Linked DNA regions of Oryza sativa Japonica Group. The main gene of each other region encodes a partner of the protein of the gene in region 5 in a complex. Links are inferred from orthologs where the notes say so. Each region holds a gene or a part of one and is shown on either strand. Other genes may lie near its edges.

Evidence for each region.
Region 1: mediator of RNA polymerase II transcription subunit 18 (region 5) and mediator of RNA polymerase II transcription subunit 33A share a complex: the UniProt entries of both Arabidopsis thaliana proteins name them as parts of the mediator complex. The link is inferred for Oryza sativa Japonica Group from reciprocal best matches to the Arabidopsis thaliana genes AT2G22370 and RFR1.
Region 2: mediator of RNA polymerase II transcription subunit 18 (region 5) and mediator of RNA polymerase II transcription subunit 32 share a complex: the UniProt entries of both Arabidopsis thaliana proteins name them as parts of the mediator complex. The link is inferred for Oryza sativa Japonica Group from reciprocal best matches to the Arabidopsis thaliana genes AT2G22370 and MED32.
Region 3: mediator of RNA polymerase II transcription subunit 18 (region 5) and mediator of RNA polymerase II transcription subunit 30 share a complex: the UniProt entries of both Arabidopsis thaliana proteins name them as parts of the mediator complex. The link is inferred for Oryza sativa Japonica Group from reciprocal best matches to the Arabidopsis thaliana genes AT2G22370 and AT5G63480.
Region 4: mediator of RNA polymerase II transcription subunit 18 (region 5) and mediator of RNA polymerase II transcription subunit 23 share a complex: the UniProt entries of both Arabidopsis thaliana proteins name them as parts of the mediator complex. The link is inferred for Oryza sativa Japonica Group from reciprocal best matches to the Arabidopsis thaliana genes AT2G22370 and AT1G23230.
Region 6: mediator of RNA polymerase II transcription subunit 18 (region 5) and mediator of RNA polymerase II transcription subunit 4 share a complex: the UniProt entries of both Arabidopsis thaliana proteins name them as parts of the mediator complex. The link is inferred for Oryza sativa Japonica Group from reciprocal best matches to the Arabidopsis thaliana genes AT2G22370 and AT5G02850.
Region 7: mediator of RNA polymerase II transcription subunit 18 (region 5) and mediator of RNA polymerase II transcription subunit 17 share a complex: the UniProt entries of both Arabidopsis thaliana proteins name them as parts of the mediator complex. The link is inferred for Oryza sativa Japonica Group from reciprocal best matches to the Arabidopsis thaliana genes AT2G22370 and AT5G20170.

The regions. Positions count from the first base shown.
Region 1 is NC_089041.1:6,111,124-6,115,348, forward strand, and holds the start of mediator of RNA polymerase II transcription subunit 33A, read left to right. Parts: upstream 1-1,425; 5' UTR 1,426-1,548; coding exon 1,549-1,823; intron 1,824-2,478; coding exon 2,479-2,589; intron 2,590-3,125; coding exon 3,126-3,470; intron 3,471-4,220; coding exon 4,221-4,225. UniProt on the Arabidopsis thaliana protein: Component of the Mediator complex, a coactivator involved in the regulated transcription of nearly all RNA polymerase II-dependent genes.
Region 2 is NC_089044.1:22,150,916-22,153,489, forward strand, and holds mediator of RNA polymerase II transcription subunit 32, read left to right. Parts: upstream 1-1,348; 5' UTR 1,349-1,438; coding exon 1,439-1,921; 3' UTR 1,922-2,074; downstream 2,075-2,574. Other genes in the region: U-box domain-containing protein 70-like, read right to left, coding at 197-359. UniProt on the Arabidopsis thaliana protein: Component of the Mediator complex, a coactivator involved in the regulated transcription of nearly all RNA polymerase II-dependent genes.
Region 3 is NC_089038.1:19,469,314-19,473,602, forward strand, and holds the start of mediator of RNA polymerase II transcription subunit 30, read right to left. Parts: upstream 2,801-4,289; 5' UTR 2,731-2,800; coding exon 2,314-2,730; intron 1,885-2,313; coding exon 1,807-1,884; intron 131-1,806; coding exon 32-130; 3' UTR 1-31. UniProt on the Arabidopsis thaliana protein: Component of the Mediator complex, a coactivator involved in the regulated transcription of nearly all RNA polymerase II-dependent genes.
Region 4 is NC_089036.1:31,045,629-31,049,797, forward strand, and holds the start of mediator of RNA polymerase II transcription subunit 23, read right to left. Parts: upstream 2,801-4,169; 5' UTR 2,723-2,800; coding exon 2,573-2,722; intron 2,487-2,572; coding exon 2,443-2,486; intron 2,051-2,442; coding exon 1,951-2,050; intron 1,868-1,950; coding exon 893-1,867; intron 373-892; coding exon 135-372; intron 1-134. Other genes in the region: GDSL esterase/lipase At5g37690, read right to left, coding at 3,872-4,119. UniProt on the Arabidopsis thaliana protein: Component of the Mediator complex, a coactivator involved in the regulated transcription of nearly all RNA polymerase II-dependent genes.
Region 5 is NC_089036.1:5,237,976-5,242,160, reverse strand, and holds mediator of RNA polymerase II transcription subunit 18, read right to left. Parts: upstream 2,801-4,185; 5' UTR 2,608-2,800; intron 2,527-2,607; 5' UTR 2,497-2,526; coding exon 2,461-2,496; intron 1,297-2,460; coding exon 1,197-1,296; intron 1,126-1,196; coding exon 1,068-1,125; intron 990-1,067; coding exon 633-989; intron 541-632; coding exon 429-540; 3' UTR 241-428; downstream 1-240. Other genes in the region: brefeldin A-inhibited guanine nucleotide-exchange protein 1, read left to right, coding at 3,081-4,066. UniProt on the Arabidopsis thaliana protein: Component of the Mediator complex, a coactivator involved in the regulated transcription of nearly all RNA polymerase II-dependent genes.
Region 6 is NC_089043.1:25,716,283-25,719,719, reverse strand, and holds mediator of RNA polymerase II transcription subunit 4, read left to right. Parts: upstream 1-1,296; 5' UTR 1,297-1,371; coding exon 1,372-2,616; 3' UTR 2,617-2,937; downstream 2,938-3,437. Other genes in the region: histone-binding protein MSI1 homolog, read right to left, coding at 496-1,119. UniProt on the Arabidopsis thaliana protein: Component of the Mediator complex, a coactivator involved in the regulated transcription of nearly all RNA polymerase II-dependent genes.
Region 7 is NC_089046.1:28,095,974-28,100,025, reverse strand, and holds the start of mediator of RNA polymerase II transcription subunit 17, read right to left. Parts: upstream 2,801-4,052; 5' UTR 2,595-2,800; coding exon 2,506-2,594; intron 2,419-2,505; coding exon 2,220-2,418; intron 2,124-2,219; coding exon 2,010-2,123; intron 1,847-2,009; coding exon 1,761-1,846; intron 1,675-1,760; coding exon 1,296-1,674; intron 1,098-1,295; coding exon 636-1,097; intron 560-635; coding exon 239-559; intron 1-238. UniProt on the Arabidopsis thaliana protein: Component of the Mediator complex, a coactivator involved in the regulated transcription of nearly all RNA polymerase II-dependent genes.

The DNA.
Region 1 (4,225 bases), on a different chromosome or scaffold from region 5:
ACTGTGACCGCATCTGACAAAGGTTCTCTTCAGAGGACTAGAGGAGTTTATATCAACTGCAGCTTGATCTAAATTCATAGTTAAATTTTAATAATATATAGTTGTAGAATATAGAAAATAAATAAGAAATTAAATAGAAGTACAGGAAAACTACATTTTACATGTTTTCATGAGGTACTGCTAGTAGCTACTCAACGGTTGCTTAGGCTTGATTCGTTTATCTGGGTTGGGAACCTTTCATCGAACACGCTAAATGGAGTGGTAGATTTACACATGATTAATTAAGTATTAGCTAAAAGTATACACATGGAAAATGATAGGGTATAAGTTGGAAAAGCTTGCTGTGTTCTTTGTTCAGAGTTCCCAACCCCTCTACCTCGTGTTCCGTGCGCACGCTTTTCAAACTTCTAAACGGTGTATTTTTTAAAAAAAGTTTCTATATAAAAGTTACTTAAAAAATAAATTAATCTATTTTTGAAAAAAAGCTAATACTTAATTAATCACGCGCTAATGGACTGCTCTGTTTTCTGTGCGTACTGTTCCGGTTGGGAATCAGAGATACCGAACACATCCTAAAAGAACACGACTTTGATATTCCTTAGGGGAATGCTAGGAATCGGTCGCTCAGGGGAGGGAGAAAAATCGGGCGCTCCCTCCTCCCACGACGCGCACTGCCCTGGGCCCCACCACGTCTCTACCCCCACCTGCCACTTATCTCTATCACATACTCCATTGCAACAAATCACCTATATATTTTGGAAACACTCTATTAAGGGAATACATTTCATTTTTTTCCACGAAGAATGTTTTACCTTTTATACCCACAATATTCCACTGTGTATAGATCTAATGTCGCAGTGAACTGAAACATTCTTTCACTATTTGCTGAAACATTATTTTTATATAAGGTGAAACAACGCCCGACTTAAACTATTGAAACATTTTCGATCTCTTAGTGAAAAAATTCCGATATACTTGGTAGAATATCGTGCAACATTTTAAAATAATTCAATAATAAGCTAAATTTTTTTTCATCGGAATATATCTATGTGTGTGATCTTGTTTTGAAGATTTAATTGCAACGAATTTAATGGTGAAATCATGATTTGGATAAATAATTTAAGAGAAAAATTAGTTTAAAGTAGTTTTGCACGCATGCGTCATACTGATGTCAGCGTCCGATTTTTCTCCAAACCCATCGGTCGCCCGACGCGTAGGCTCCTCTTATTCCTTGAATTAGAATAGGTATGGCTACACGCCTACACGCACACAAGATAGATGAGGTGGGTGAGGCGGAGCAGAGGATCCGGCGGGCTGGGACCACCTCGTGTTGGTGCCTGGTGGTGATGCAGTGGGCGAAGTGGTTACACCAACGCGCACCACCACCACCATCTCTCTCTCTCTCTCTCTCTCTTCCTCCTTCCCACCAAACAAACATCCCACGCTTCGTCCCTCCCACTCCACTCCCCACCCCCGCGACGCCTGCGGCGACGACGACGGCGACGGCGAGGAAGGCTGGCCACGGCACGCGGCGGCGAGTAGTCCAGCATGGCGGCGCCCTCGGCGGCGGCGGCGTGGGTGGACTGGGCCGCGGAGTACACCAAGGCGGCCCAGGCGGAGTCGCGCCCGCCCGCGGAGTGGGCCGCGCGGGTGGCCTCCGTCGTCGCCGCCGCCGGGGACGCGCCGTGGTCGCCCGGGCTCGCCGAGATGCTCGCCCGCGCGCTGCTGTATGGCGGTGGCGGCGCGGCGTGGAAGTACGCCGAGGCAGCGCTCGCCGCGGGCCTCGCGTCGCCGGCGCTGCTCCTCGCGATCCTCTCCACCAGGTACGGACGGCGCGGCGCCCCCGCTCCCATCCATTGCCCTCCCCCCACGCGCGCGCAGTGGCGTTTGTGCGCGCGCGCGGGGAGAGACGAATTTGCGTGCGTGGTATCTGACATGGGCTCCTGCTCACGTGGGGTGTACTGTCTGATGGAATCCGCGCAATCGCGATCGGATCAGGCTACTAGTTTCGATCTATGAGATTTCCCTCGCAACCAGATTACCACAAATGCAAGTTGTTCTACAGCGTGGCCTGTACATGATCATAAACAATCTGATGTTTTGGGCCCTGTAAATTTGAGAAGGAAAAGGGATGGTGGCGTGCTTACTGTGCGTAATACCCATAAATTTGAGAAGTATATGAATGGCAGTGTATGTAGAGTACTCGAGTGTGCAGTGTAATGCAGATCAATTTAATACATGTATAGCAGCAGAATACTCTGTTTCATTTTTTTCACTTTTTTTCTTCTCTCTAGAGTCTAGATCATGCTAGTTGGAATAACAAGTGCAGTTTGAAATGTGCTTTTCAGCAGTAATCGTATAACCAACTGGCGAAATCCGTGCACATTTTCAATATCTGCTATGCTGCTGTGGAATGTTCTATAAAATAGAATATAAGACTGATTGCAAATATTCCGTTGATGGTTTCTCTCCATTCAGGGTCATTCCTCACCGGTTCACAAGGCCAACTGCATATAGACTTTATCTGGAGCTCTTGCGGAGACATGGATTCAATTTTGCTTTTCAGATGAAAGCGGCGAATTTCAAAAAGTGAGGTTTCCTTCTATGAGGTGTTCCCAGTAGTTTCATAATGCACGCATTCTATGTTCAGAGGTTTCGAAATATACATCACAGGAACATGTACATCATTCTGAACGATTCAGTACTGTTCAAAAGAATTATATAAGACGGGAATTTTAATACGATATGCTGACAATTAGAGTTTTGGGTGTCTACCACAATACATCTAGACCACCTTATTGCATCTGCATACTGGACATATCAAGATCTGTTCCAAAGAGCAACAATTTGCAAAGGAAGAATTTCACCTGGTTGAAAGGGCCAGTTCTGCAGTGATACATAATATTTTCGGTTGAATTGGTTAAGGTGTCACTTTATATGTTTTCAACTCGCATATAGTTCTTTCATGTTAGTTTTTAAAGAGTTTGTTTCTTGTGACATGTCTGTTCTGTTAGCATCCTATGTTTATGCCTTGTGTAGGTATCTGTCATTCTGTCTGCAACTTATCATTCCTTTAGTTGTCTTCTAAATGCAAAGTTTCATGACACCTTCTCATATTTCCGCAGGATCATGCAATTAATAGATGATAACCTTGGTCTCTCAAAGATATTTGGCTTTTCAACATGCGAACCAGGGGTTTTTGTTGTTGAATTTACCCTTTGCATGTTATGGCAGTTGGTTGATGCTGCATTAGATGACGAAGGCCTGTTAGAGTTGATACCGGATAAGAAAGCTCATTGGCCAACTAGATCAGATGATGTGAGTGCATTTGATGGAACTTTCTCTGAACAAAGAATAGACAAAATTGACAAGTTACAGAAGATGAATAATGTGATAACTATAGAGCTCATTGGGCATCTTCTTCATGACAAAGTAATTACTCATATCCTCTCATTGGCACGCGAAAACATGTATGGCTTTTCAACTTCATGTACTGCTTTACTGAGTTATTCCAGCTCTTTCTTCCTATCACTAAAAACAGTGAATTTATCCCTTTGTTATTATATCAATTGATAGCAACTTAATTTTATTTTAGTGAGTTAATGTATGGCTTAAATATCTCTGTGTTCCATATGCACCATATAATTGAAAACATTCTCTCTATTGGCTTAAGGTTCTCAAGTCAAGCTTCTGTGTCTTCTGAGTATACAGGGTATTGCCAATATTTTTCTGGAATATATCAGATTCATTGTATTTATGGAATGGCTGTACACTTTTATAAAACAACTGTCGACCGCAATGCTAAAATGTGAACTAATAGTACTCTAGAAGGACTACTGGTTGTATGAACAAGCAAGCTTGATTGGTTGCAACTGTAATGTTCAAATGATTTTCTCTACTACTTTATAACCAAGAAGGATCACTGATAGAATCATAGAAACTCTGGCCATGGGGGACAAGCTCTGATATACTCATGCCAATATTGTCTGATATTGCTGTTTGTGTTCATAACTGTACTAGAATCGTACACAAATGAACTATTGGGATAACAGTACATTGGTAGAAGGCATTCGTTTAAACTTCCAAAGTGGGGATCAAGGGCATCCTTAAGACACCACAACTGAATTCACTTACTGTTTTTATTTTTTATTTTTTTGAAAAAGTATGCTACTTTAATTTGTTATTATTACCACCAGTACTAACGAGTCTTGATGATTCAGGCAAT
Region 2 (2,574 bases), on a different chromosome or scaffold from region 5:
CTTTGCTAAGGATTATGCAACCGAAAACACAATAGAAACAAGAAGTAATGGTTAGAGGAAATAAACCAGAATATGGCAGAAAGCCAGAAGCTAAAGATTATGGTACAAACATCATAAGATAGCTATATGACTATATCACCTCCTTTATTGACATCGAGAAAAATAACTTTAGATAAAGCCACTGCACATAACTAACCAAAGTTCGATGTAGTAATTATGTGGATGATGATGATCTCCGTGCTACTGGATGCATGATCGATAACCCAAGACAGTATGGACTTGCCATCGGTGGGTTGCTCAGGGAGAGCAACATAAACCTTGTCTCTAAACAGAGTTTTCTGCCTGAGCATCATACTCATGCATGCAACTGGTAAGGCCTTGAAGATGGAACTAAGAGATACTTCTATCTACCAGTTTGCGTTTCCCACTTTGGACAACTAAAAGAGGGAACACACTGCGTATTAGCATTAAAGAATAAGATTCCAGTTTAACCAGGTAAAAAGGTTGACTCTTGACTGAGACTATCGGAAGACAACGCAACACTCAACTACCAAGTCGCAGTGAATGGATTATCTGAGGAAAGTCATTTGGTACGCTGTCATGCCATGCCAGTACAACACGGCAAAATTTGCTGGGAACAGGGACATGTTATGAATTAATGTAAGACTCTACCTTTCTCACATCCTTCACCCCCATTGCTCACCACAAATTCCCTGCCTTTCATTTCTAATAAAAAAAAGATGTAGTGCATCGATTGTGTGCCAGTGATAGAGCCATCAGTCTATCTGGTGATCTAATCTAAAGATCTCGGCCTCATATTTCAGTTACTCCATATGAACGGGAGAAACAACCTACGGGTAGTGACGATTCAGCAATAATAGCATATGAAATTTGAGGCGAACAAAATTGACAACAAGCAAACATCTCATCATCACCAGTACTGCATATGAAATTAAATCATCGTGGTACAGTCAAATCACCTTTGACGATTGACTAGAAATGGCGAACACCGAATAAATACATCGCGGCGGCGGCGGAATCGCGCAGGGAGACGGCAACATCGGCGCGCGGCGAGGCGGGAGTTGGGGGAAGCCGTCGCCGGCTCACAGGATCCCACCGGGGTCGCCCGCCTCGCCGTCGGCGAGGGGGAAGCCACCGCCGCTCCGGCGAGCGGCGAGGCCCATATTTATCCCTCGAGAAAAACCCTCGCCTCGCGTCCCAGCCCAAGTTTTAACGTGCGGCCCAGTAAGAAGATACAGCACGAGACGGCCCATTTTAAAGTGGGCCGCGAATCTGCGGCCCACGAGGAATTTTTTTTTTTTTGACGCTACTGGTTTGGGAGTTTGACACTGTGACGAGTAGAGGTCAAGTTGGTGGGGAATCTAGGCGGCGGAGGCGGTGGAGCGTGTCGGGGAGAAGCCGCCGGCGGCGAGGGGAGATGGAGGCGACGGTGGACGAGCTGAGCGAGGCGTACCAGGAGTTCGTGGCGGCGGCGGCGGCGGTGGTGGAGGCGCGGGGGCAGTCGGGGGGAGAGAAGAACGCGGCCACGGACGCGGCGCTCGAGGCGTTCAAGCAGCGGTGGGAGCTCTTCCGCGTCGCCTGCGACCACGCGGAGGAGCTCGTCGAGTCGATCCGCCAGCGAATCGGTTCCGAGTGCCTCGTCGACGAGGCCACCGGCGCCTCCTCCTCCTCCTCCGCGGCGCTGGCCGCCCCCGGCATCAAGCCCATCAGCGCCGTCCGCCTCGAGCAGATGAGCAAGGCCGTCCGCTGGCTCGTCATCGAGCTCCAGCACGGCGCCGGAGGTGCCTCCGCCGCGGGTCCCGGCGGCGGGGGCGGCGCCGCGGCTGCGGCTTCCGGCGTTGCGGGGCAGCACGGCCACGGCGGGGTCGACACGCGCTTCCCCGAGGACGGCGCCCAGTAGGTATTTATTTTGCTCAATTATCTTGTACTAGTAGTATTTTCTTCCAAAGAAAACAAATTACTGGTGGTATCTCTGTGTAATCGTCTAAGAATTGAAGCATTAGAGCTTGTGATCGATATTCTAAAAAAAATTGAGCTTGTGATTTTCTCAGCATTGTTACTTTATGCCTACTGATGTTAAAATTTGGGAGAAATTAACCGTTTTCTTAGTGTCGTGGCCAGATCACGCTTAGTAACTGATTTAATTTTGTCCTATTGCTTTTGTTAAGTGACTAATTGTGTAACGGACTTCCTTCCAGTAGGTTTTAGTTCTGATTTGTAGCTCGCTCACATAATGTTCGTGCATCGTACTAAGGTAAGGTAGTAAACCTGAGGTCCCAGGAAAAAATGAACAATTTCATATATACTACTCAACTAGCATATAACTGTATAAGTTCCTTCAACTTTCAAGTACCTACTCTGGATGTTTTGCTAATCTTGCGTCCGCCACAATGTGAATGCTTTTCCTTCTGATTTTTTAATGAACAACATTTTATTGAAGAATAACTAAGCAGCCACAAAAGGCACAATTTGTGATAATAAACTCTGGGAGATTGCTCATGGTTTGTGAAACCCAGTTATACTGGAAAGTGATATTGGTTATTAGCTACTAGT
Region 3 (4,289 bases), on a different chromosome or scaffold from region 5:
GGATTCCTAAAGGATAAATGCCGATGAGTTTTCACACTGAGCAAGGACTCTGCCACATTGATATGTCCGATATTAAATCATGGAGTTGGTCGATAAGGAGCTTTACATGCTTGTTTTTGCTTTCAATTTCCTGCAGTAAACATCCTGTATTAGACTGGTTTACGGTACCAGAGAACAGTATGCCACATTACTAGGTTGAAACAAAAAATGTATTATATATGTCAAAAGCGTGAGGACTCAAAACTTCCACAGACCATGATACCACGGGCATATATAGAAATCTGAACTAGGACACATGGGATCAGCTAATTGAGATTGTACTGACCAGTGTATGTTTAAAATGAAATGCTTTGAACTTTTTAGGAACAAACTATGTAATCGAGGCATTAGAGAACACTGTTTGCTACATAGTTATTAGAACTAGACCAGACCAGTGGTCCGATCAGAAAAAAAGGGAACCAGGGCGTTGGCTGGTCCAGTCCAGCTAAAAGATCGTTGAGCAAACAGACCGGCAAAAACCCATTGAACCGGGCGGTTTTCTGCAGAACCAGACAAAAACCGAAGGTGGTTCGACTGCTGGAGGGTGTCACGTGGAGTTAGAGAAAATAGGAAAAAACCTGCTGAACTGAAGATCGAACCAAGACCTCCTTGCTTCCACGGAGAGTCTCAGCCGGCTATGTCACATGTTGTTCTAGTATTCTAACACACATCTATTTGAACCGCTTTAAACCGGCGGTTTGACTGGTCCGACCAATAAACCAGTGAACCGAGTACCCTAACAGTTCGATCACCGGTCCGGTCTTAATAACTATGGTTTGCTACACTTCAAACATAGGAGTACATGAAAATCACTGATCTCAATAAATCATACAAATGGAACTGAATAAGCCACAAATCCATTTTTCTATACACATTTATACACATCAAGGAGAATAATCTGTATTTATGCTATAATGATCTAGCATAGATAAGGAGTAGTTGAGACTTACAAGGCCATTACAGCCAACAGCCCTCCAAAGGATGAAAAGGATTTGCTAAATAGTCCAGAATCCAATTAGCATCAAAGGTGGATTTGCAAAAACTTACTCCCTCTGTCCCAAAATAACAAACCTAGTAACAGACCCCTATCCAGATTCCTAGTATTAGGGTGTGTCACATTCCATACTATGTTTATTTATTTTGGGACGGAGGGAGTAAGTTCTAAACTAGCAGGCAAATCCAAGTATGCAAACAATAATGACATGCAGTATCCAGTGCAGAAAAAACAATGATAAGATAACAACTTAACAAGCATGAATATTGCCAGGAAAGATCAAGATGGAACGCTTTTTTGACGAGTTCAACAGAATGAACATGACTATCCAAAACACTACAAGCAACACAGTATCACAGCTTGCCAAACTAGATCCTGGCTATCTAAAATGGTTTCAGGTAAAAATTGGGGATTACACTCTTCTCAGGACTTTTTGAATTAAAATGATTGAAGCATAAAAGGAACATATATATATATATATATATATATATATATATATATATATATATATATATATATATATATATATATATATATATATATATATATATATATATATATATATATATATATATATATATATATATATATATATATATATATATATATACACACACACACACACACACACATTATGTTCAAAACAGGTTGTTTGGGAAATATTTGGGATTGACATGGCTAAATAAGCACCAGTTACCAACTGGTTCAGGGAAAAATTCTGAATACAGCAAAATGATATTGATTATATTGCTAGAACATTCCCAAGATAGTACCTTTCTCAAAGCAGATGCATGTTCTTCCAATCTCTCAATCTCAGCTTGATCAGCTTTGTGTTCTGTCGATCCCATCTCCTACGAAGAAAACCACAACATCATTACAAAGAAGTAAACTGTTATGAGGTTTCTCCATAGCACCATATTTTGCACATCAGGATTACACTTACTGCTAAAAATAGAATCATATAAAACTACTATTTTTGTCTCATGAACATTGAACACTAAAAGCTCATGTTGATTGAAACATATATATAGTCCACATCCATGTAGTCCGAACCTACATCACAACATCCCTTACATTCCCTTACATTGGTATCAATAATAAGAAATTTTCTTTTGCAAAAATTATTTGGCTCCCTTACCTATGTATAAGCACCTAACTTGATATCAACAAAGAGTGCAATACGTTTCACAATTTCCACTAGACGATCACTAGAAACACGCATTTCGTGGTTGCATACATACTACGGGAGCATGCAATGTCGGGTAAATTCGTGTGCTGACCTGAGCACAGGACGACACGGCGGCGATGGACGTGCGGAGCGCCGCCATGGCGACCTTGTACCGGTGCCTGGCCTCGTCGAGCGACCCGCCGGAGCCCGGCGCGCCCCCGGGCCCTCCCCCGGCGGCGTCGGCGGCGTCGGAGTCCGCGGAGTGCAGCGGCGGCGGCGGCGGAGGGAGACCGCCGTGGTGGTGGTGGTGCTGGTGGTGGTGGTGGTGGTTGTTGCCGTGGTGCTGGAGTCCGCCGGCGCCGCCCGCCGCGGCGGCGGCGGCGGAGGAGGAGGACCAGAGCGTGGGGTTGCAGAGCTCGTCGTTCATGGAGGAGAGGATCTGGAACGCGGCGGCGATGGTCTCCTCCAGGTGGCGCTGCCCCTCCGCCGCCATCTCCTGCCGCCGCCGCGCCGCCGCCGAGGAGGCCATCGCCGGAACCCTAGCCGATCTGCTCCTCCTCTCGTCGGCGCTGGCTGTGAAGTGAACTAAGCTTAGCTTCAGAGCCCAACATAGTCCAAAAGCCCAAAGGATATGTTGATTTTGGGCCGAAGCTCGAAGCCCAGGCCTGGCCTTATCAGGGCCCTAGTATTTGAGCGGAATAAGTCCAATTTGTCTCCCTCGACTATAGGTCCAATCTGATTCGTTCTCCCTTAATCGCAAACCGTGTATATCGAACCCTCGGCTATTAACACCGGTGAATAAAAAAACTCTTTTTAGTTATTTTGAGGGTGGTTTTCGTTAACGTGGCTCATTGAACTGGTCTAACCGATTAAGTCAGCATGTGGGACCCACATGTCGTCCCCTTCTCTTTCTCCTCATGCTTTTGTTTTTTCTTTTCTTCCCTCTCCTTTCTCCACGCGGTGACGAGCTCAAGCATGAATAGTGTCAGTGACTTAGACGACAAAGCCACCACCGACACAACCAACTAAGCTTGGTTCTGTTGGCAACCTTGTGGAGCAAAGGAGGGAAGGGCCACAGCGGTGATGGAGAGTCGGAGAGGCCCAGTGCTGCCGTAGATGTCCTCTTCATTGTGGGCTCCAACGGTTGCCACACCGAGGCCCCTCACTGATCTGGACAAAGCCGGGTCCCATCAGTGTTTCTCCTTCACAGATCCGAGCCTCAAGCCACTTCCCCTTCTCTCTGTCGCCTCCTCTAATCCGACGTCCTTTTCCCACCTTCACCTCTATCAACGCCTCGGTTAATAAGGCCTAGCAATGGACAAGGATGGTGATTGACCTCGCTGTCATCGAGATCTAAGAGTCCTTCTCCTTTATATGTTGTGGAGCCATACATGGCAATAGTGAGGGAGAGAGAGAGGAGGGTCACGTGCATATCTCTGCATGGCCAAGGGATAGCCACCACCCGTCGGAGGACAAGGGGTAGATGTCGACGAGCTCTTGTAGTCATCATTGCCACCGAGGGGGAGGTCATCCTCGATGGCTCGCTGGAGCACGTCGTCCATGTCGTTGACCTTAATGACAGACTCAAGCTGTAGGCAATGGCGAGCACATGCCCCCTATCCTTGGTGGGCGTGGCAACCTTGTTCCGCTACCGTTCTTGGTGAGGGCAACGAGGCAAATCCAATGAGGCAAGCGAGCTCGATCTTGATGAAGCTTCTCCAGAGATAGGAAATGTCGACATGTGTGTCCTCGATTGCTGGAGTCCAACGTCTCCCGCCCGTCTCTAGCCACCTCTTAGACGACACTTCGTTTGCTCCACCGTACCGAAGAGCGGTGGTCGGTGTCCTCTCCTGATCCCAGGAAGGGGGTGGAATGGGAATTGGGAAGAGTCACCTTCGTCAGATGCTCAGTGGCATCCCTATCGTCTTCCCTTGTTCTACCGACCGCCTTCCCAACTAGAGCTCATCACCATGTAGGGAAAGGATAGGGAAGAAAGAAGATAAAAGTAAAAGAGGGAGGAGGGGACGCTGACATCTAGGCCCCACATGCTAATTCAGTCGGTTAGATCAGGTCAACAAGCCACGCCAG
Region 4 (4,169 bases), about 26 Mb from region 5:
CACGTTCTAAAAGAAAAAATAGTGAAAAGGGTGCATCAATAGAACATTTGAAATTTATATTCCCATCAGCTGTCCACTTGAAAAAGGAACTTTATTATATTGACAAGGTAAATGGTTAACTTTCAAATTCTAACCTGAGTTCGTGAGCCTCAGTAGTTCAATTGTCCTGTCAGCAACTGCCTCACCGATCATATCAGGTGAGAAAACAGCTCCTGGCGTTGATGATTGTTGAGGATGTTGTCTATAACAAGGAGCAACAAGAAGAACACGCCTCCACCAGTCTGGTGACGGAGTTGTGCGGAGTGCATGCCTCAAGCAACGCAAAGCACGTTCCCAGTCTAAACCCCCTTTAGGAATGGAGTTTGCAAGATCCTAAACAACAAAGTTATATCAGATTTCAGATCCTACCCAAACCAACATTAGTAACTAATAGCTCAATTATCTATTCATTTCCTGCCAATTTTCCTGATCCATCCTTGAAAAACATGCGGTGTGTTGAAATTTAATTGCAAAATATATTTTGCCTCTGCATGTTATGATGCTTTGCGATTTTTCCGTTTATTTCTCCCTCCTGTGAAATTATTCATGATCACTCAAACAAAATGTGTTAGCATGTCATCCCCTGTTAATGTTAGAGGATACTACAACAATCCTAAAGAGTTTGCAAGGATATTCCAGCCATTTTGCGACACTAATTTCAATCTCGTAGGCTCGTAGCCCCAATGTGGTCAAAGAATACTGCAATATCTCTATGCAGTCAAAATATGTGCAGAGCATATCGGATGAACATAAAAATTGAGCTTCAGTCCACAAGTACAAAGTCAATGCATACAGGTTCAATGGCAAACTTAAAAGGGGAGAGGTGGGTAAAGAGGGGGAAAAGTAATATCACCTCTCCGTGTAGCGGCTCTCCCAATACACTTGGATAAGTAATGGGAGAATAACGCAAATTAGCAACAGATTCACCAGCTATGCTTGGGTATGATTGCGACAAGAACCGATGAGTTGCAAATGTTGGGCAATGAAGGTGTTGATCCAACATCTGCATGTGCATACATACCATGTCCCTCCTCCTATGGATCTCCATAATAATACTAACTAGTGCTTCATCGTCAGGAATATTTTCGAGAAACTGCAAGTTGCTGCGAACAAGCTCGTAGAATGGAACACGACATTTATCTTCATTAACTAGAATCCATATCACATCTAAGCATAGGTGCATCCATTCATGCAAAGGTCTTTCAAGCCTCAAGGTTTGCAATTGCAATGCATCAGCTTGGTCCACACCATGCGGTCGCTGGTCCCAATTAACAAGCCAATTTACCATATGCTGGAATATCACAGCATGGGTGGCTGGCTTCAAATCAGACTCCAGCCCTGCTAGAATAATTCTACAGGATAAGTGATGCAGATAACTAATTTCTGCTCCCCTGCGAGACTGGTCACCTCTAGCTGTCAGACCAAGCTGTCCAGGGCTAGAGAATTCTGCTCCCTTAATGGGTGAGACATTTGCACCTATGGGTTGGTCGATACCAGATTGAGTGGGAGATCCTATAGTGTTCATTGCTGACAATGGAGATGTGGGATTTGAAGGGTGAAAGCTTGGGGCATTTGGCACTGCAATAGCTGATGAAGAAGATGTTGCCGGGCCACCAGTAGTCACAGAAACCCCTTGCCCCATTGGTACCTCCACGGAGGAAACTACATTAAGTAGAGAAGGAAGGAGACTGTCCCATCGAAGGTGGCCTCGAGCACACAGGCAACGTGTGGCAAAGAGCAAGAACTCAGATTGTGGGGCGTGGCTACTACACTGCAGGACAAATGAGATGAGAACTGATTCCGTAACTGCCTGCAGCTGCTCTTGGTCCTGAAGAAACATGCAAATCAAATAATAAATTTGTTCTGTTCTCATGACATAAACAAAAGTACTTGCGTAATGATTCTGCTTACTGGGAACTGCATGTGCAACTGCTCAAAATCCGAAATGAATTGCTCATCTCGGGGAGGCAGATCTCTGTTCATAGCAGTTACTCTCTTCTGCAACTTGTTCCTGAGGAAATTCAATGCCCATTATGCATTACAGTTTTAGAAAAGCTTGCTGAATTGACTTCCATCGTCAAACTACCATATCAAATTTTGTCCAAAAACTACCATATATCAAAATGAACAAGGCACGAAAAACCGCTAGAGTACAGCACACTAGTTCCAAAATTGCGGCAATAATCTCCGGATATTCCAGAATTCCTTTCAAAAAAAAAATCTCCGGACATTGCAGAAGCCATCGCCTTCAAAGGTAAAGTTGAACAAAGCGCGAACGACAAGGACAAAATAATCCGACCTAACCTATCATAATGTTTCATGTGCTCGAGCCCTCGAGCAATCCAGCTAGCCCTAAAAAGTAATCCCCAATTAGAAGTCCAACAAGTGGGAAATCAAACTTACGAGGTCTCCCTAGTTGGATCCTCGACCCGCTGCTTCGAGTTCATCTGCAAATCACAGAAACCCAGGGTCTGAGCTAGCGTTCACAAGTGCACCACGGTTAGAGATTGGGGAGGAGAGACAAGGCACGCACGCCGAGGTATAGGGTGAAGAGATCGGCGATGGACGACCGCGCCGGGTGGTGGTGGTGGTGGTGGAGCTGCATCTGCCGCTGCTGCGGGAGCACCGCCGAAGCAGAGATCGCCGGAGACATCGGCTGCCTCTGCCCGTGCGCCCCGTCCATCGCCGATGCGCCGCTTCCGTCGCCGGCGACTGGAGTGGTGCGGTGGGCTTGCTCCGACCGAGGGTTTAGGAGTGTGGCGGACCTGACCTGATGAGCTCTTGCAGTTTGGGGGAAAGGGAACAGATCAACGGACGGTGGGATGTGTAGTCTCAGCTGCATGGAGACGGATCCAGACCGCTGGTATGCATTCTACCTTTCTCTTGGGTCGAAAAATTGAAATTGAAACAGAACAAAAACATGTTCTCTGGTATATTTGTGGTTCAAATTAGTGGCCATATAATCGAAAGCTACCAAATACCATCCGGTTATATACTCCTTTCATTTCTTTTTTCTTTAACGTAGGTGGAATAGGTAGTATCATGCTTGGTCTCATTATTTTACGTACAGCTAATTATAAGTCGTGATGATTTTATATTAAAACTTTAATATATTTGTCCTTACTAGAAAAAATACACGTACATTGCAACAAGTAAATGTTATTTTAATTTTATTATTGTTACACAATTTAGCTAAGGTAAAATTCAATGTGGGAATTCACTTTGATATTTATTGTTTAAAAAAAATCATGAGCTGCAATTAGGAGTCTGTATTTCATCTCAAGTTAGCATGCGAGTTTTTTCAAAAGATTTTTTATACGATTCCTTCTATACTTCCAAAAGGAAACAAGGTTAAAATCCAACTCAAATACGGATATGTATTTCCAAAAACGAACGAACTTAAAAACCGACTCAAATACGGATGACGTACCAAAATACCGGCAAAAACATCTTTAATTTTTATAATAATAGAGATAGAGAAGAGATTGAATAAAAACCAATGCTGAAAATAAATCACGATAAAAAAAACTACTATGAAATTAAATTTAAAATTTTAATTTTTGGCTTTGAGTGATAAAACGAAAAGCATCGATGCTAGGACTCTTACAAATATTGGAGTATATTGAACTCAAGGATGATCCTACATATCACACATCTGATATGTCCCATTGGGATGGTCCCAAAAACATAATTTGAACGAATTTTGTGAATTCGACCAGCTACTAGTACCCAGCACCGGCGCTTCCAAGAACAATCCGCGCGAACGAGCACGTACGGCGCTACAAAAGTACACATCACAATTGACACACTACAGTACGTCGTGATCGGTGAACTAAGGCGCCCGAGACGGCGACGGCGCCGGCGACGCGGCGAGAGGGGTGGTGGCGGCGCCCCCGCTCCCGGCGCTCGGCATGGCGTCCCAGAGGAGGTCGGCGATGACCCGGTTGGCGGCGTCGGAGGTGTGGTACGCGTCCCAGAAGACGAACGCCTTGCGGTCGCTGCAGGGCCGCGAGTTCGGCAGGCACAGGCCCCCCACCGTCGTGTCCACGTTGCAGCACGACGTGTGCGCCGTCGTGAACCCTGCACACACACACACGCACACACGCATCGCCAACGGTGAGACACGCCCG
Region 5 (4,185 bases):
AACTTGACTGCTAGACTTACATAATAACTAGAGAAAATAGTTTGATGCACACTAATTAACTAGAGAAAAACTACTGGGCAATTGAACGTCCCAAACCATGAGATCCTTACCACGTATGTGACCTAAATTAAAGTAAACAAAGCTACCATCAAATATATTGTCAGGATCATGACAAACTCCAGCTATCAGTCTACCACCAATATCGTCAAGCTTTCCCAGCATTCAGTTTCCACTCTTCAGTAAAAGCAAGCAATGATCAGTGTTCATTTACCAGTCTCCAAAGCAAGGTAGGCAGCATTTAGCATGTCATTACAAGAAAAACCATGGTGCTACTGACTAAAAGTTACAGAACTAAAGATGGCAACAATGTTTTAAGTGGGATGGTCAATGGAGATCATCATGGCATTGCAGCCAACACATATGACCGATCACAACGTTTTACCACCACCACCACCACCACTTGACATGAGTGAGGCGGCAGCAGCGCCTGCAGTCGGGACGATTCCAGTCGAATTGCCTGGTTTAGAGAGATGCAGAAGCCTGCAGTGTGTTTTGCAGTCAAAAGTGAGAAAATTCGTTTATGCCAGTCTAGTAATAATCTTGAGATAGCTAAGGAACACTTAGTTACTTACGGTGCTAGATATTCACAGAACGAAGTGACGGCTGAAACGACATCGTTGTAATTGTCAGCAGCAGCAGGGGCCGTGATTTCCACTAGCTGTATTGCAGGAGTGATTGGCACAGCTTCGTTGGTAGCATGGAGTTTTGTCATCTTGCTAACAGAGGTAACGGTCACAGTTATCTGGGCACCTCGGTGGAAACGAAATGCAAATCCTCCCTTCAGAACTTCATGATCTAACTTGTACCCTATACCGTAGAAGTAACGCAATACATTGTTGCTGGCTTTGCTCTCTACAATTGACCGCACAAGGACTGAGATTTGCTCTGCACCAGCACCTCTCATGGCACCTCCAACATGTCTTATGGTCCTACATGAATACTACTGGATTCAGAATATCATCAAATATCACAAAAATGTAAATTTTAGCAGCTGAAAGAAAAGTTACCAGGATGGCGTGGACTGAGCTAAGTCACACAATAAACGAACCTCTGATGGGACAACTCCTGTATGATTGGAAGATGTATATGAGTAACAATGGCATATGATCAGAATAATGAAAAAGTTGCAAACTGACCTAGATTTGGCCCACTTTTAAGACAGAGCTCATGCACTCTGACACGTTCTTTTGGGACACCAGAGAGGCCCTGGAGAAGAACCTCAAGAGCATCAACATGCTGCATAACAAGAAGATCAACCAAAAGTTACACTGATGTCAAAGCAATGAAAACTAAAAAAGGTTAAATGGTGTTCTAAGCACAAGACATTGACATGTGTATATAAATTAATCCCTTTATTGTAAAATTACAAACCATATAAGTGATATGATTCCTCCAATTGTATATAAAATAGAACCATATCAACATATTGAAAAGAGAATCAAAAAAAGTCTGCAAGTGGCAGAAGTAGTGCCCTCAGAGTGGAGAAACATGGTTGACCATATAGTGGTCAGCATGATCAACTGTATACTTTTTTTTTATTATCCTGAAGGGAAGTGTTGATATGCTGACAAGAGGAAGCTATAAGAGACTAACAAAAGGTCATATAGAGACAATGGATCGACGACAAAGTCTTAATGCTGGCATGAATTATTATTCTCTATTCCCTGATGTGTTTCGTTCAAGAAAAAAGAAATTCTCTATGGACATAAAGTTCCAATACTACTTCATGCTATATGGAGTGAAAAAATAACTTTGTTCCTAAGTAGGACTATTGAGATGTAATTTGACATTGGGGCTATGCAGTTGATAGATTTGCTACCTGGGATAGCTTAAGTGTTACCTTTCAAAAGGTTTTATCACAATTACATTTACAGAGGTCTGTTTTCAGGCAATTGACACCTCCAACAACAAAAATGCTATCTTAAATCAAGTGATAGAAAGTTCATTTAGTAAACGTCGAAATTCTACATTCCAACTCCTTTGGATAAGGTTACTACAAAGCGAAAGGCCAAATAACCTTATGCCAAAAATTAAATAAAATTCAGAATTCTAGATACAACATACAAGTAAGGAGCGCAAATGTCAGATCAGCAAACTTGACTAGTACCGATTTCCCAGAAAGGCCTACCATCATACAAAAATCAAGAATCCATGAAGAACATCACATCTACCATCACTCCGGCTTATGTTACGGGCCATGTATGATTTTCCGGGTAAAAGTTCAAATTGGTCATGTTTTACAGCATAAACAGACAAATCAGTTTCATATGAACAAAAATGCATCGTTGCATAGCTACAGATCACTCATTCTCGGAAGAAACTACCGTTCACTTCAACAACCGCTCACACAGTCACCACTCATACAAGTCTACTGGCGAAGTGAGAAAGAAGAACAATAACCTGGGTCTCGATGATCCCCTGCACCACGCACTCCATCAACCCCACCGCTTCTCGCTACCACAATCCCTGCAAGAGAGACAAACCCTGAAACCACGCTGCGGAATTTCGTCGAACAGCTACCTCGCAGCAACAAAAATTCACCCCCACCTTTAACCTAACAGCAATAATCCGCGGCGCGGCGGGGGCTGAGGCGTCGGGAAGTGAGCCGATCCGAGGCGCAAGAGCTCCCCCCACCTCGCAAACCCCGCGTCCCCGAACACTCCCCTCTCCGCCACTGACCGCTCGCCGTCCTCCGCCGCCTCCTCCTCCTGCAGCGATGGAGACGAGAAGAAAGAATTCCGAGAAACCGAGGGGGGTAAAGTGATAAAATGCCTCACCCCCGCGCGAAGGGTCGCGGCGTTTTTGCATCTAGGCCCCTGGAAGAATCTGAAATTTCAGTCATACCCTTCCTCTGACTTCTCCTCTTCCTCTTCCTCCCCCACGCGCTCGTCTCGTCTTCCTCTCGAATTCCCATTTTCTTCCACCTCCTCCTCGTCTCGAGGTCTCAGATCCAATGGCCGCGACGGCGACGGCGACGACCACCGCGTAGAGCGCGTGAGAGTCTGCGTGGACGGCTAACTATGGCCTCGCCGGCGGGGGCAATCGGCGGCGCGTCGCCGTCGGGGCGGGTGCTGGGCCCTGCGCTGGACCGGATCATCAAGAACGCGGCGTGGCGGAAGCACTCGGGCCTCGTGGCGGCCGCCAAGGCGGCGCTCGACCTGCTCTCCTCGTCGGCGTACGCGTCGGCGTCGGCGCCGTCGCCGCCGTCGCTGCTGCTCGGGTTGCCGGCGGCCGCCGCGGACGCGTGCATCCACGCGCTCCTCCTCGCGCTCGAGTCGGCGTCCCCCAAGGTCGCCGACCCGGCGCTCGACTGCGTCGCCAAGTTGCTCTACCACCGCCTCCTCGTCGGTGATCTCGGCGGTGGCGGCGGCGACGACGACTCCCCGTCCTCCAAGCTGCTCGCCGCCGTGCTCTCCTGCGGCGCGCTCGCCGACGACGCCATGGAGCTCTCCACCCTCCGCGTCCTCGTGGCCGCCGCGCGGTGCCCCTCCGTCGCCATCCGCGGGGAAGGGCTCGGCCAGATGCTCAAGACCTGCTACAACATATACCTCAGTAGCAGCAGCGGCGCCAACCAGCTCTGCGCTAAGCTGGCGCTGGCGCAGGTGCTGGTGATCGTGTTCGCGCGCGTGGAGGTGGACTCCATGGATGTGCGCGTGCGCACGGTGTCGATCACCGACATGATGGACATGTCTGACCGCAACCTGAATGACTCCAGCATTGTCCATGCGGCGCAGAGCTTCATAAACGAGACGATGGAGGGAAGCGATGTCCCTGAGCCGGGGTCCCCGGTTGAGCCGGCCGAGACGGATGGGAAGGAGGATGTTGTCATGAGCAAGATCAGGGAGGATGGGTTGACACTGTTCAAGAACCTGTGCAAGCTGTCCATGAAGTTCTCGACGCCGGATAATCCCGAAGATCAGGTCCTGCTGCGCGGGAAGGTGTTGTCTCTTGAGTTGCTCAAGATGGTTATCGACAATGCTGGGGCATTCTGGAGAACGAATGAAAAGTATGATATGATACTCATTATTGTCTTACTTCTGTGCATTTTAACAGCTCAACTTGCTGTGTTGCCTATCTATATAAATATTGTTGTTGCAGTGATTTAGAAGAATGCAGATGGCTTAA
Region 6 (3,437 bases), on a different chromosome or scaffold from region 5:
GATGTTTGCTAATCAGCTCAGGTGCCTTCTAGAACGCTCACATAAAAAAAACTCAGTGATCTGTTTATGCATAATAGAATTGTTCCTCACACCAAGAGATGATTGTTTGTGCTTAAAATGCAGCTATGGAAATGGAACCATGTTCTCTTCTCGACTAGTTATTCAATTGCTGTGTCCTTTCTCCTACGCAGTGCAATTATCTACTCTGGAATTGTGCAGTTATTTCAGTTATAATGATTCTCTTCCAACATTTAGGAAAGACCAGAAACAGTTCAATTTCATTATTTCAATATTGTTTACTAAGAGATCTGGCAGATCAAAATTTGTTTACTGAAAAAAAAAAGGGGAAGAAACAATCGAAGCATCCTTACTAAATGAATTGGATTATGAATTACGAATCATTGCTCAACTGCATCGTATAATGTAACATTTAACGACTGTAAATGTTTACTGCAAAATGGAATGAGGGGAGGGGGGCATTTGACGGCGCATTACCTCGAACACATGATGTGCATCCAGAGACGAAGCTCCACTCCCAGCAGCGAGATCCCAAAGGCAAATCTTCTTATCATACGAGCCGCTCAGCAGCAACCCCTCCTTCATCGGACTCCACGCCAGCCCATACCCCTCCGCTTCATGCCCCCTGAGCACCACATCGGCGCCGCCCTTCTCGCCGCCGTCGCCAAGATGGTACACGTGCACCTCATCCACGCAGGTCTTGGTAGCCACCGTGTACGGCCTCTGCGGCATGCAGCGGGCGCGGTTGACCTCGCCCTTGTGCGGCACCGAGCGGGAGATGGACACGGACGGGGCCGGGACGGCACCGCCCGCCGCCGCGGCCGCCGCCGCCAGGCGGGGCGGGAGCGGGAGGGCGGCGTCGGCGAGTAGGAGGTGGTTGGGCGTCTCGTCGGAGGTGTGGGTGCCGAGGACGAGGCGGTGGGAGCGGGCGGAGCCCGGCGACCGGGAGTGGGAGGGGAGCCACTGGACGGTGAGCGACGGCCACTCGAGCGGCTGGGAGATGACGAGGTCGTAGAGCACCGGCGCGTTCTTCTTCCAGTTCTGGTGCTCCTCCATCTCCGCCGCCGACGACCTCGCCGCCGTGGAGGACCCGCCGTCCATGGCTCTTCTCTTGCGAATTGCGCGGGAAGTGGAGGCGGCGCTGTGGTGCTCTCCCGCCAAAAAGATTGGGGAGACGATGCGGCGGAGTCAGAAGAGATGGTGTTTTATGGCCGAGTTAATGGGCTTTTATGGGCCGTAAAGCCCATATAATACAATTTGGAGGCCCATTAGCCCATTAAGAGGAAATTTTGTCTAGTAGCTTCTGCCTCGCGTCCGTCTCCTGCATCCGCAGTCGCCGCCGCCGCCGCCGCGATGATGCAGTCGCACCACCCCTCGCCGGCGCGGCTGGGGCTGACGGCCTCGTCGCCGTCGCTCCCGCCCAACCCGGCTGCGGGGAATCCCACCTCCTCGCCGCCGCAGGGCAACCCTAGCGCGGCGGCGGCCGTGGGCGCTGCCGCTGCCGCTGCACCAACCCTAACTACATCGCCGTCGCTGCTGCCGCTCCTGCCGCCGCTCCCGCGGGCGCAGGCGCTCCTCCAGCTGATCTCCGCGCTCGCCTCCAACCTCTTCGAGCTCTCGCCGAGCCGCGCCGCGTGGATCTCGGCGTACCGGGGGTCACTCCCCACTTTCCTCCCCTCGCCGTCCTCCGCGCCGCCGCCGCCGCTCCCGGCCCCGATCTCCTCCACCAAGGAGGCGCTGTCGCTGCTCAACACGCTCCAGACCCAGCTCTTCGAGGCCGTCGCCGAGCTGCAGGAGACCCTCGACCTGCAGGACGCGCGCGCGCGCCTCGCCCGCGAGGCGCGCGCCAAGGACGCCTCGATCCTCGCCTTCGCCAAGAAGCTCCGCGAGGCGCACCACGTGCTCGACCGCCTCGTCGACGACTACGCCGACTACCGCCGCGACCCCAAGCGCCCGCGCGGCGCCGCGGCGGCGGACGACCCCGAGCCGGTGTCAGACGGCGACTTTGGCGCGTCGCTGCACTCCAAGCTCAACCTGGACGACGTCCTGACGTACGCCCACCGCATAAGCTACACGACCTTCGCGCCGCCTGAGCATGGTGCTGGGCTGCCTCTGCGTGGGGCGTTGCCGCCTGCTCCTCAGGAAAATGAGATGAGGATGTCGCAGCTGTATCAATTTGCGGATTTGGATGTTGGAGTGCCGAAATCCCAGGAAGCAAAGGAGAGGACTGCAGCAGAGGGAGATGCCACTCCGCTTTTTCAGCCTTCACCAACCCAGGAGGCAGCTGTGCTACCAATCACTGTGCCGCATCCGCATGGGTGGCGGAACGGGGCGCTGCCTCTCGAAATCCCGTTGCCGCCGCCTGGATGGAAACCCGGGGACCCGATCACTCTACCGCCGGATGGCATTCTGGCTGGTGTCAAGGGTGAGGAGCCACGGGCCAGTGTGCAACAGATGCCGGTTGTGGTGCCAGCAATGGTGCCGAAGGCACAAGAACCGATACAGGTTCGGCATGTTGATCTTGACATTAACAATAGTTCTAGCAGTGATGAGTACAGTAGCGACGTCGGGAGCTCTGAAGAAGATGATGAGGATTAGTTCCTTGGTAAGCTATTTTATGATTCATGTTTCCATGCCGTTGTAGGTCATGTACTAGTAAGAACAAATAATGCAAGCTCTCATACATGATTATTCAAGATCATGCAGCAATATACTGGTATTGAATAGAATTGGGTGGCGTATCATGTATGTGTTGATTAATTAAACCATCTCACTAGTCAATTTGCTTCGATATATGTAATCAAGCATGATGGTCTAATTTCCTCAGGATGTGCTGGTGTTGTATCGTCAGAAACATGGCTTCTTTTATGGATATTTAAACTTGAACATGGTGTGTTTAATGTTTGATGCCCTTCTTCACAGATTACAGGTTTCAGTCATAATTGCTTGCTAGGCTTGCTAGCTGGTTATGGGCTTTTCAATCAAGTAATGACTTCCATGTTCATGCACTCTGCTTAATTTTTCTCATTGTTTTACCTTATGTCTGTACCTCTTATTGCTGCAATATAGTTTGAAAACCTTTATACCATTGTACCAAAGAGTGGTAGCTGAAAACTCAAGAATGTTCTATAACTCAAGCTATATAAGTTATGAGAAGGGAGTGGTTTCAACTTGTAAGTTTGCACTTAAATGAACACACCATTTTTCCTATCTTATTGCACAGCATGGGGGATCTTCCTACTACAAACATGATACTAGTACTATAGGTCTTAGTTTTCATTCACGAGCTTATCTTGCAGATGATAAAGTAGTAATTGACTCAAATGGGTTAGAACTGCCAAAGCATCATCAGAAGTAACTCCTTTTATAATTTTATTGGTGCATATCGCATCTTTATGTACTTTTTTTTCCCAATTCAA
Region 7 (4,052 bases), on a different chromosome or scaffold from region 5:
GTAGGTCAATAGGCACAAATGAAGATTTCCTCAGGGAAAAAAACTAAGAAAAATGCATTACCATTGTGCATTTCACATTCAAATGCAAGGAGTTTATGTTACACATTTGCAATGCAAGAAATAGTCTGGCTCATTGCATTATCAATGGACCATAATGAATTCCAATGGTAATAACTTTAATAATTTCATAAACATGATCTACCAAGAAATAATTTAAATAGTATCATCAGAAGTTTACCTGCTGCAGAAGCATTGTTGGGAGGTCCTCCAAGTCACAATTGTAGCTATTTACCAAATATCCATCGGAGGGCTTCCCAGTCAATGATCCAGCAATGCTTGGGGAGCCTTCACCCATTAGACTAATTTGGCTATCTTTCACGATCACCTTAGTATTGAACTGTGACCTGGATTTGTACTTAAGTTCATGGTTATCAGAAGGCTTTGCAATCCGATCTGCAGCAAGGATAGGCTGAGGAACTTTCAAGCATAGAGACCAGGAGGAAGTTCGAGAATGCCAAGTAGGAAGAGAACGCAAATGGAGATATGGAACCCTGCTGACCTGCAATACAGAAAGGAAATTTAAATAATGATCTACATGCAAATATGTAGCATCAACAAGCTTATAGGAGCTATACCACACTCTCAAGCTCCACGAGTACTTTGTTAGAAAATATCCTGTGAGCCACTGTCAAGCAGAAATGACCTAGCAGGCCATAATCATCACCTGCAACCTGAGCAGGACTTTGGTAGCGACCAATGTTAAGGGATTTCTCCCTGACCTTCCTAAGAATGTTCTCATGAAACAATTGTAGCAAGTAAATTTCCAGACTTCTGGGATTAGGAAACCCTGTCACGTCTTTTCTTAAAGGGTCCAGCTTCCCATTCATAGTGACCAACACAAGATTTGAGGCATCCTCTGAATTGGCATGGTCTTCATGGTCTACCATTTCTGAGTCACTACCATCTCCAGAATGAGCAAGCGAGAGGCACAATGAACATTCCTGACCAATAGCTAATTGGAGAAAATCTTCACGCATTCCAGTCACATTGATGCCTTGAGATTGGACAAATGTCTCACGGATCACCATATCAAATACCTACAAAGGCATACACTAAGCTAAGCCACAGAACGATATACATAAATAAATAATGATAAACCCGGGGAGGGAGGGGTGGTGGTGGTGCAAGATGTCATCACATGATATACAATAATTTTCCATGATGCTATAGTTAAAACTTAATTAAGAGCATTCTATACAGGAATTCTTAGCATGCCAAGCAAACACTTAGCTGACCTGCTCCTCAAATATTGACTTGTGGATGTTGCGAAGAATAGAATGTGCATGTTTGATGGATTTATTGACATCATCATTGTCTGTTTCAGAGGAAGTGATGCTTGAGATGCCATCTTTCAGTTTATGACCGTAGTTTTCCACACCATTGGCACTGTCCCCTCGAAAATTAAGACTCAAGAAACGGCAAGATTTTTGAGGGACTTGTACGGACAAAGTGCCTGATGAGTCTTGGTCAATTGGAATCAATGGTAATGATGACAGTCGAGGCATTGCTGCTGTGTCCAATTGAGAAGTGTCGATCAGATCAAACATGAAGCCCTCACTTCCTGGACCACTTCCACCAAACCGTTGCCGCTTCACTTTCCAGTTCTGCTGCAATCTGCCACCAATCCGCGAGTAATTCATGGTGCAAACTTGGGTGAAGTGGTATTGAAATAACAACTCAAGTTAAGCAACAAGACATGCCTGATTAATGAGCCATAGAACCTAGACTCTTTTTGGAACTGCTGCTCCATTGTTTTGGCAGATTGTTTGAAGTAGCGTGACAAATGCTGCGAGGACACAAATGAAGATCACAACAGGAAGCATGATAGATGCAAGACGGAAGAGGAAAGTGGCAAGCGATTACAGAAACAAATTGAGTTTGTTTTAGGTTCCATTTTGTTCCTTAGCCGTGAATTGAAGTAATCAAACATAGGCAGTAGGGTGACATACCCGAACGCGCTGAAGCTTGGTGGCTGCAGAGACTGCGGTGTCAACTAAGGTTTCGGTTGGCAGCGATTTGGGCTTGAGCATCCCAGCGACTGCCACTGCATCATTGGCTTCGACCTGCATTATCAAGTAGGATTGTCTCCTCTGTCAGGAATACAAACAATCGCATGCAAATAGAATGGGGTTTGCAGTATTGTGTGTGGGAAAACTGACAGTGGAGATGAGGTCAATGACGACGGAGAGCTCCTGCTGCGCCTGCTGCAGGCTCTCCATCATGCCCTGCCACGGCCATGCCTGCTGCTGCTGCTGCTGGGCGGTGTCCTTCTTGGGCTTCTTGGCGTCCTTGTCGATGACCCAGGAGAAGTCGATGCGGCGGATGGCGGAGAGGCGCTGCTCCTCGCTGCTGGTGTCGCTGCGGAATCCGAATCTCAGTGAACGGAGAGAGGTGGGGGTTAGGGTTTCAGGGGAAGGGAAGAGGTTGGTTTGGTTTGGTGCTTACGGCGGGTAGTGCTCGTTGCCGGCCTCGTCGATGGCGTGGAGGCGCTTGATGGGGAGCTTGTCGAGGTCCACCCGCACGGCTTCCTCCATGGCGAAGGCGAGGCAGCGGCGGCGGAGGGCTTAATTAGATCGGAGACAATTTTTTGAGTGAAGGAGGCACTGCCTTGGGGCTCACGAGTCCCGCTCAAGAGCGGAAGGGATCCCCCCGCGGGAAGCAGAAGCGGCGGCCGGCGGGGTGGGGGCGGCCGCCGGCGAGGTCGTCGGGCGGCGGAGTGAGGAGGAGCGAATTCTCGATCGAGTTTGGGTGCTGGACTTTGGAGTTTCTTCTCTGGAAGAGAGTATGATGGGCCTTTTTTGACTTTGGGCCGGCCTAACAAGTAAATGTTGCTGGGCTGGCCTGGACCAGTTCCAGACTTCCACTACTCCGAATGGGCCGGAGTTTCTTTTTTTATTTTCCATTTCTCAAGGCCCCTCGGGAGCAGGAATTATCTCCTAGCAATGGTAAAACGAAGGCTTATATCAGAGAGCTTTTTCTTATCAATGCCTACAAGACAACAAGGCCTGTTCTTCTGTTGTTCGTCCATGGATCACAAGTTTCAGGGAACAAAACTCTCTTTGGTGCCGGTGGCAATGATATTCCAAACTCAACCGCAAGTTGTGATCAATCTGCAACGTATCAGGGACGACGGATATTTCACAAAATAAGTAGTAGTATGTCGATTCTTCAGTCCAGCTTCTGAATTCCAGGCCTTTTGAAGTTGAGCAAGCAAGTAAATTCAGATAATCTCTCTGCAAACCAACTATACAGTGAGTGACTGAATTTCTACTTGCGCGGATCGATGTGCCAGAGCATTGCCAATCACAGAAACAAGTTGCAGATGAGATTGTCATACTAGCTTACAATCAATGCCACCATCCGCTCAAAACTCACAGCAATCAATCACAACCTGAAGAAACAATGAGGACAAACCACTGTCCACCGGATCGAGTTGGCAAAACCTGGACGACCAAGGGGGTTCGGAGAATAAAACTCCGACCCCTATTCATGAAAAAGAAAAGCACCGCAAACAATTCGTATCATAATTCTTGCAGGTAACACCGTAACACCATAAGTTTGAGAGAAATGCGCCAAATACAACAAATTTGGCGATTTGTTTGTTTTCTCTTTTTCAAAGGTAGCATATAGATTTGCCTTGATAATAGTATCAACAGATGCAGCGCTATAACCATATATACTCCATTTCTTCTCCATTCCCTTGCTTCATTGATTTATGACATACTCAGAAAGACTAAAATAAGCATCAATTTCACACTTCACAGGCCTGTTGTTCACAACTACTGAGCTGCTGTGTTATTGTATTGCTACTAATCAATACCAGCATCTCTTTAGAAAAATCATTAGCGATACACAGCTTACATTTTATTGGATATCACTGTCATTGTATCACATCCACTCCTCCCAGATCAACATATGCAATCATCATGCCTATGCCAGTTTTTTGCATGGTAAATTCTACTACTACCAGTGGCCCAGTGCCATGTGATGTC